2 linked regions of the Sus scrofa genome follow. The protein of the gene in region 1 binds, or shares a complex with, the protein of each later gene. Links are inferred from orthologs where the notes say so. Each region holds a gene or a part of one and is shown in the gene's direction. Other genes may lie near its edges.

Region 1 (4,452 bases):
CTCTTGTGTGCTTGCACTTCACCATTTGATTTGCCCATTTGATTTATTCATTTATTTTGTTGCCTCTTTTAGGGCTGCACCCATGGCATATGGAAGTTCCCAGGCTAGAAATCGATTTGGAGCTGCAGCTGCTGGCCTACGCCACAGCCATAGCCATGCAGGATCTGAGTCCTGTCTTCAACCTACACCACAGCTCATGGCAACACCAATCCTTAACCCACTGAGTGGGGCCAGGGATCCAAACTGCATCCTCATGGATACTAGTCAGATTCGTTACCACTGAGCCACAGTGGGAACTCCCTGATCTGCCCATTTTAAAACTGGCAATTTCCATAAGCAGAAGGACCTGCTTGGGGTTATCCTTCCACCTGAGCTCTGGTAACAGACCAAGTTATTCATTTGTTTGTTTTTAAATGGTTGGATCAAAAAAAAAAAATCTTATAATGTGAATCCACATTTTAGTATGTCCATAAATACATGTTTATTGGAATACAGCTGTGCCCATTCATTACAGCTGTTTCGGAACTATCACAGCAGAGATGAGTAGTTTTCAATGAGAACCATTTGGCCCATAAAGCCTAAAATATTTACTACCCGATTCTGTAGAGAAAATGTTTGTTTGCCTACCTGCACAAGTAGATGAGGTTAAAAGCAAAGGAGAAAAATAAAGCAAGGCAGTGAGACAGAGTGGGGATGGGTAAGGTTGCAGTTTCCTACAGGGATCTTGGACGACTTCAGGATGAAGATGAAGGCTGTCATTGGAACCACAGAAGGGCTCCAGGTCGAGGCCTGGGGAAACTCTAGCAGCTCTTACCGAAGTACTCGAGCCAGTTCATCTCGCGCAGTGCCTTGGGGAGTCGCAGGATCTCGATGTTGTACAGGTTATCCATCTCCTTGAGGAGGTTCTGCCTGTCTGACTGAATTTGCTTGGATCGTATTTGCACTGCAAGAGGGCAGAGCGGACAAGACGTGGGTCACCAGTGGGCAAACGGGGCCTGGAATCCGTGCGGCCTGCGCCCCAACCCGCCAGCACCCCGCGATTGTCCCAGATGCCAGCGACCTCCCGGGCTCCGCCCCTTACCTTCACGGTCGAAGTCTTTAAGAAAGGAAGCGAGCTTTCGGCTCCGTAGCGAGTTGTTCTTGGCCACCCGACTGCCGCCTTTCCTAGCCGGAGCCATGGCACTTCGCTGGAGACTGCGGGGAGAGAGGGGCCAAGCCAAAGGGTGTCAGCGGCGGAGAAAGGGAGGGAAAGGGGGCCGCGAAGGAGCAGGAGAGGGCGGAGGACACCCCAGGGGGGTTGGAAGGGGACCCCTGCCCTTCCCGGCATGAGCATAAACGATTCGCGAGGCACTCACCTGTGGGCCCCGGTAATAGGGGCTGAGAAAACCCTGGCTGCTTCAGCTGAGAGGGAGCGGCTCCGGGACTAACCGGACGTGCGACCGCCGCCACCAAATTCAAACTGCCACAAGCTGACCAATGAGAAGCCGCCGTCTTAGAGGGTCCCACAACAGCCAATCGCAGGGACGCTCTGCGATCGGCCAGTCAATTCACACGCAGGACTACAGCACCCAGAAGTCATTGCAGTTTGACGGCATATTTTCGCGACTCTGTAGCCACGTTGGGGCATGCGCAAAGAGAGTCCCTAAGGCTCTTGAGGGCCTAGAGAGGTCCTCAGACTTTAACTGCCTTAGCTTTAACTTTTGCCGCTGGTTTAGGGAAGGCGAGCCGTAACTTCATGGAGAGGAGACAAGGTTCGGGTTCAGGAAACTCGAGACGGCCCGGGAAACCCACAGTCTGAAACAGAAAACTACCCGAAGCCGGATGAGCCTCCTGCGAGGAATAGTCAAGAAATCTTTCCCGAGGTGGGAAATAAGGGTCCTGCCTTCCGAGAGCCTGTGTAAAGGTAAGACAACCCCTCACTCTAGAAACTCCCGTCGGGAGGGATAGACAGCTACCTGAGGAAACCCTGGGTTAGCTGGACCTCACTTGAGAACGGAAATAACTCCTACCGACTTGGTACTTCCCCTACCGACTTGGGACTCTAGGGCTGTGTCTTTTTTTTTTTTTTCCTCCCACAGAAGATGACTCAAGTTGGGCCTTTGCTTGCCGTGCAGGAGGCCCTAAGGAAGTGCTTTCTCGTGGTGGAGGAGCAGCAAGGCCTGTGGCAGAGCGTTCTTAAGGACTGCCCGCCGCTCCTGGCCTCCCTCAGTAACCTGGCAGAGCAGCTGCAGGCCGCACAAAATCTGCGATTTGAAGATGTGCCGGCACTTCGGGCCTTCCCAGACTTACAGGAGCGGCTGAGACGCAAGCAGCTGGCGGCTGGTGACATTGTCCTGGACAAGCTAGAGGAGAGGCTGTAAGAGGTTTAGTGGCTCTGTTCTTGGTGGAAAGATTTTAAAGCTAGGTGTTTAGAAAACTAGGATCAGTTAGAAGGATGTTTTTCTCCTTACTTGAGAGCTTTGTATTTGGGGATGTGTCAACCTTACGTGCTTTTCATCTGTTGCAATGGGACCTCTGTCAAAAAGCCACTTTCTGACATTTCTTTTGTCAGGCTAGGGGTGGCAATGGTGGACTTCGTAAAAGTTACCAAAGCAGAACAGAAAAACAGTGGAGAAAGCTTATTAGCCCTCCTCTGTAAGTTTTTCTTTGGTAAAAAGCAGCAAAGAGCTGTACTATAAACTTAGTGGGTGCCAGAGCTGAGGGTTTTACGTCCATTATCCGTAAAATCTTTTCTGCACCTCTATGACTTAACCTCACTTAATCTCATTTTTCCGGTGAGGCAGCTGAGGCCCAAGCAGATTGCCTGTGGTCCTGCAATTAGTAAATGGTAAAGCTGGGATTCTCATCCAAGTGTATCTGACACCAAGGCCGGAGCTCTTAACCACTACTTTGTTCTGCTGTACATTGGTGTGTCTGTGCCAGGAGTGGTACCCCTCTAAGCTCTCGTTATGCCTAGTGTTAGACTCTCTGGCTTCGAGTTATAGGTAATTGAGGATAGAGGAGAGACAGGGAACTTATGGCCTTTCCTTGACCAGGACAAAAGAAGGTTCTAGTGTATAGAGTCTGTGCTGTTAACTAATAGGAGACTGTCAAAGATGAGTGCCTTCTTGGTATTCATTTGTTTAAAAAAAATTTTATTAACAGCCTATAGGAGAGTTCCTGTTGTGACTCAGTGGATTAAGGACCCAGTGTTGTCTCTGTGAGGATGTGAGTTCAATCCCTGGCCTCACTCGGGGGGTTAAGGATCCAGCATTGCTGTAAGATGCAGTGTCGGTCACAGATGCAGCTGGTGTTGCCATGGCTTTGGCATAGGCCTCAGCTGCAGCTTTGATTTGACCTCCGGCCCAGGAACTTCCACATGCCACAGGTGCGGCTGTAAAGAGAGAGAAAAAAAAAAAAAAAAAGTAAAGAAAAGAAACCTATGGGGAGTTCCCGTCGTGGCGCAGTGGTTAATGAATCCGACTAGGAACCATGGGGTTGCGGGTTCAGTCCCTGCCCTTGCTCAGTGGGTTAATGATCCGGCGTTGCCGTGAGCTGTGGTATAGGTTGCAGACGGCTCGGATCCGGCGTTGCTGTGGCTCTGGCGTAGGCTGGTGGCTACGGCTCCGATTAGACCCCTAGCCTGGGAATCTCCATATGCCGCGGAAGTGGCCCAAGAAATAGAAAAAAAAAAAAAAAAAGAAAGAAACCTATGGGATGCCAAGCACAGGGTGCTGGGTCTACAATAAACCAGACTTAAGTTCTTTGGTTGATTAAAAGAGATAGACAGTCAATTAAGTTTTGTCATGGTACATTCTAATATAGTGACCTTTTATTTCAATTGATTACATATTTGTATGTGGGTATGGACTGTTATTTTAAATCTTTTTTTTTTTTTTTTTTTTTTTGACCGCACCCACGGCATGAAAAAGTTCCTGGGCCAGGGATCAAACTCAAGCCATAGCAGTAACCAGAGCCACAGCAGAGACATCACTGAACCACCAGGAAACCCCTATTTTAAGTGTTTTTAAGTCGTGAGTCACAGTCAAACATTTTTGAAAGCTGCAGTTCTAGGCTAGGGAATGCCTTGCCCTTTGGGAAGTTGTAGCTTTCTTCTTGGTGGCTGGGCCCCTTGGAGTCACCAGTGGAATAATAACAAAATTTACTATAAGCCAGGCACTTCCCTAAGCACTTACATTACTGCATTTAATCTTCGCAGCAGTCTTTTTCATTCATTCATAGGACAAGTGTTTGTCGTTCTCTGTGCCAGTCCGGATATTCTAGGCGCTTATGATGAATAGTGAACAAAAGAGACTGTATTCATGATTGAGAATAAGTAGCTTTTCTAAGATCCCCAGTTGTCTGTGTGCATCAAGAGCCCAGACTTGGCCCATTTGCTGGGTTTGGGGTGAGAGGTGACATTAGAACTGTACTGGTTTGTTGCTTCAGTTTCTTCTTGGTTATTCCCTTTCA
Region 2 (4,263 bases), on another chromosome or scaffold:
AAAAAAAAAAAAAAAGCCAGTTTCAGAGGCCATCAAAGTACACTGTAGATGGATGAGAAAAAGTACAAAAAAATGCTGCAGCTTAGGAGACCAGGAGTCACGAGTGACCACAAGGGCTGCAGTGATTTTATTCCCAGATTCGGCCCATGCTGGGATGTGGGCTTGGGAATTTCCAGAGCTCCTTTCCTTAAAGTTTCCAAGACCTTGGCTACAAGGTGGAAGTCAATTCCCAGTGCAACTCATCACGCCAGCAGACAGGTGTGTGCCCAGGTTAGCAGCCCACACTCTCTCTGCCAAACAAATGTTAACAGAAGCAAGAGAACAGAATGAAATTCCTGAGTCGCGACGAAAAAGTGAGGAAGAACGGGGAGCAGGGAGGAGAAATGCAAGTACAGTACGTGGGCGGCGTTCACTGAAATGTACCGCGCGTGCCAGGCGCCGTGCCGAGCAACTCCCAAGCACCGACCCATTTCATCCTCCCACCAAGCCAGAGCGAGAAACTATTACCAGCCCCATTTCGCTGATGATGCAAGAGAAGTTTAGGGAGACATCACTTACCCCGAGCGCACAGCTAGGACGGGGCAGCGCTGTGACCCGGGTCTGACTCCAGGGTACCCCACTCTTTAACCTGCACTAACTATTCTGCCTGAGGCCTTAAAGCAGGACTGAGAGAGGAGTCGTCCGTTCACCCACTTGACCAACAGCTCCTGAGCACCTCTGTGCTATGGGTATGTGCCAAGGCCTGGCCGGACGCGGGAGGGGTGCGGATGAAGGGACGCGGGCTGAGGGTCGGGGGACAGGCGCCACGTCAGTCCCAAGACCGCGGAGCTCGGGGCCTCGGGGCAGAAGGGAGACCAGGGTGCGGCAGAGGGAAGGGACGGCGGAGAGGGAGGAGCGAGTGCAGCCGGGGCGCGCGGGGCGGAGGGCTGGCGGGAGGTGTCGGCGGGCCGGGGCGCCCCGGAGGGATGGGCGACCACCGCTCCCCTGGGCAGACCTCCGCTTCTGCCAGGCAGCCAGCCCGGCGCTTCGTGTGCCAGGGCATTCGGCCACCGGGCGCGGGCGAGACGGGGACCGGGAAAGGGGGCAGTGCGACCCTGAGGTGCTACAGGGGCGACCGGGAGGCCGAGGGGGGGGCGCGGGGCTGGGCGGCGGGGTCAGGCGGCGTCGCGGGACTCACCTCCCGCGGCGGCCCCTCCGGACTCGTCGGCCCAGCCGGGCCGGAGGAGGCGGGGATGGACTCCGGGCCGCGGGGACTGCCGGGAGCCCGTTTCCAGGGCAACGGGGCCCGCACCGTCGAGCGGCAGGCGGCTCCGCCGCTGGCTAGAGCGGCAGAGGAGCAGGAGGTGGCAGACGGGGTGGAAGTGGCGTCGGGAACTTCCGGCGGACGTGGGCGGGGCTCGGAGGTCTCTTTCCTGGGATCCCTGCGGATGGCATGGAAGGTGCGTGAGAAGGGCCAGTTTCCCCAGGCGGGCAGGGCGTGAGTGTTTTGGTTGGAGCTTAGTCGGTACTCCGACGGAATTCACAGTCTAGTGAGGAAGATGCTAGACATTAAACAAAAAGATACGCTGCACTGATGAGTGTTGTGATGCCAAGTTAAGTACAGGGTATTCCAGGTATTTCGTGCAAGGAGTCCTAACCCAACCTGGGAATCCAGAAAGACTTCTGGTGGAAGTGACTTTCTAAAAACCGACATTAGATCACGTCATTTCCCTGCTCAAGGCTTGCTGCTGGCTTTCCATGACTTGGAATAAACCCAGACTTCTTTTCTTGGCCTGTAAGGGTCTAGCTGCCTGGCTGCCTGCTCACCTACTATTTCCCCTCTCTCCCTCTCATTCTAACCGCCCTGGTCCTTTTCTTTTTTTACACACACTAAGCTCATTCTCACATTACGCCCAAGCTGTTGACTTCTCATCATTCAGATTGCAGCCTAAATGACAGTCTCTCGGGGGTTCACCCTAACACAGGACCCTGTTTTATTCTGTGGGGTTTATGGTCTAAACTGATGCTGACCATCTAGTTGTTATCCATCTCCTCTCTGGAAAGTAAGTTCTGTGAAAATGGCCCTGGTCTACCAAGTTCAGTCGCTTCATTCCCCATGCCTGGCATGATGTAGGCACTCAGCAAAAGCTGGGTTAGTTGTATAAATAAGGAGTGAATGAGTAACTGTAGATACTGGATATAGAGCTTCCAGGCTGTCTCCAAGTGCTGATCTCCCTGAATCCCCACCTGTTCACCAAGCTGGCAGCTCCCAGAACTCTTTGCTCTTGGGTTTTGATGGAGGCTTCATTCCATAAAGAGGGTCGATTAAATTATTTACCACTTACGACTGATCCAACCTCCAGTCTCTCTTCCCTTATTGGAAATGGGGGTCGGGGGTGGGGGGACTGAAAATTCCAACCCTCTTAATATCAATATGATGTTTAAAAGGGGAACCTAGATAAGGATGGGGGCTGGTTGTCAGGGGAACCAATCATGTGATTAGAGAGCGCTGTACCCCTTCCTGCATATCTTGCCCTAAGCACTTCTCTGTCTGGCCCTAGTAATCTAATAGGTAAAATATTTTCCTGAGTTCTCTGTGAGCCACTCTAGCAAATTAATCAAACCTTGTGGAGGGGCTATCTTTGGAACCTCCGATCTATCAGAGATTTCTAGTAGGTCAGAAGCACAGACCTAGATCTGGCCGCTGACATGGAGAGAGAGGGTAAGAGTCTGGTAGGACTGAGCAATTAGCTTGTGGGATGCCATCTCCAGGTAGCTGGTGTCAGAATTGAGTTTATTGCTTGGTGGTGGTGGAAAAACCACACTGGAGAGGCCCTTGTGATAACACATGCTGTGTTGGGTACTTGCTGCACGTCAGACCCTCACAGCTTAAATATATTATTTAATCATTGCAACAGCTCTATGTAGTAGATCTGTTTTACCCCCACTTTACAGATGGGTACTTTGAGGCTCTGAGGGGTTAACTAACTTACCCAAAATTGCACAGCTGGCTGTGACAGAGCAAGTATTTAAACCCAGTCTGTATGGTCTTCAGAGTCTAGACTCCAAACTATATAAACTGTATCGCCATTGTGTGTCCTGGATTCCGTAAGTGGCCTCTCTCAGAATCTGGACCTTATCCTGTGGGCCATGAAATACTTTTGAAGGATTCCAAGTGGAGAGGATTCGAGGCAAAGGAGGGCCCGGGTGTGGGAGGTGCCCAAACAGCCTGAGTTGGCTTATTGTGGTCTGGGGGTTGCTTCCCGCAGGAGCTGGGACCTGGGTGAGTCCTGGGGTTTGGGCAGCCTTAGCCAGAGGAAGGAAGAAGCTTTCTAGCAGAGAGAACTACATGTGCAAGAGCCAGTGGGTGGGTGATTCAACTTCAGAGTTGCCAGTAGGAGTTCCCATCGTGGCGCAGTGGAAACAAATCCAACTAGGAACCATGAGGTTGCGGGTTCAATCCCTGGCCTCGATCATTGGGTTAAGGATCTGGCCTTGCCATAAGCTGTGGTGTAGGTTGCAGGTTCAATCCCTGGCCTCGATCATTGGGTTAAGGATCTGGCCTTGCCATAAGCTGTGGTATAGGTTGCAGACTCGGCTTGGTTCTGATGTTGCTGTGGCTGTAATGTAGGCTAGCAGCTGTAGCTCCAGTTGGACCCCCTAGCCTGGAAACCTCCATGTGCTACAGGTGCAGCCCTAAAAAGCAAAAAAAAAAAAAAAAAAGAGTTGCCAGTAGTTGCTCTTAGCTAGAGATTGCGGGGGTTCAGGGTGGGGGTTAAGATGGGCGCTGAAGCCGAGAGGGAGCCAGGTCCTGAGTTTTTGTTTTTTTTTTTTTTTTGTCTTTTTGCTATTTCTTTGGGCCGCTCCCGTGGCGTATGGAGGTTCCGAGGCTAGGGGTCGAATTGGAGCTGTAGCCACCAGCCTACGCCAGAGCCACAGCAACTCAGGATCCGAGCCGCGTCTGCAATCTACACCACAGCTCACAGCAACGCCCTATCGTTAACCCACTGAGCAAGGGCAGGGACCGAACCCGCAACCTCATGGTTCCTAGTCGGATTCGTGAACCACTGCGCCACGACGGGAACTCCAGGTCCTGAGTTCTAAGCACGGAGATCATCACTGCATCTCAGGTCCGGCCCGGTCAGTATGTTGGAATGTCGAGCGCTGATAGCCACAGAGCTCCGAGCAAGCCTAAGGTATCAAAATGCCTGAGACTGGAGAATGCAAGCAAGCAGGGCAGGGGTATCAGAGAGTTTTAGCAAAAGTCACTGCTCTGCCTCCTTT

The links.
Region 2: the proteins of C6H1orf109 (region 1) and CINP are in contact, whole or in part, in a cryo-EM structure (PDB 8RHN), measured with the Homo sapiens proteins. The link is inferred for Sus scrofa from reciprocal best matches to the Homo sapiens genes AIRIM and CINP. Residues at the interface, in NP_001289959.1 of Homo sapiens: Leu107, Gln110, Ala113, Ala114, Asn116, Leu117, Phe119, Val122, Ala124, Leu125, Phe128, Pro129, Asp130, Leu131, Arg134, Leu135, Lys138, Gln139, Ala142; in NP_116019.1 of Homo sapiens: Leu161, Leu162, Thr165, Glu169, Asp177, Leu178, Leu180, Ser181, Tyr182, Ser184, Met185, His188, Pro190, Tyr191, Val192, Glu193, Ser194.

Annotation. Positions count from the first base shown.
Region 1 is NC_010448.4:93,747,748-93,752,199, reverse strand, and holds the start of C6H1orf109 (uncharacterized protein C1orf109 homolog), read left to right. Parts: upstream 1-1,603; 5' UTR 1,604-1,903; intron 1,904-2,078; 5' UTR 2,079-2,081; coding exon 2,082-2,356; intron 2,357-4,452. Other genes in the region: CDCA8 (borealin), read right to left, coding at 815-943, 1,082-1,178. UniProt on the Homo sapiens protein: Part of the 55LCC heterohexameric ATPase complex which is chromatin-associated and promotes replisome proteostasis to maintain replication fork progression and genome stability.
Region 2 is NW_018084979.1:1,150,286-1,154,548, reverse strand, and holds the start of CINP (cyclin-dependent kinase 2-interacting protein), read left to right. Parts: upstream 1-1,351; 5' UTR 1,352-1,432; coding exon 1,433-1,439; intron 1,440-4,263. UniProt on the Homo sapiens protein: Component of the DNA replication complex, which interacts with two kinases, CDK2 and CDC7, thereby providing a functional and physical link between CDK2 and CDC7 during firing of the origins of replication.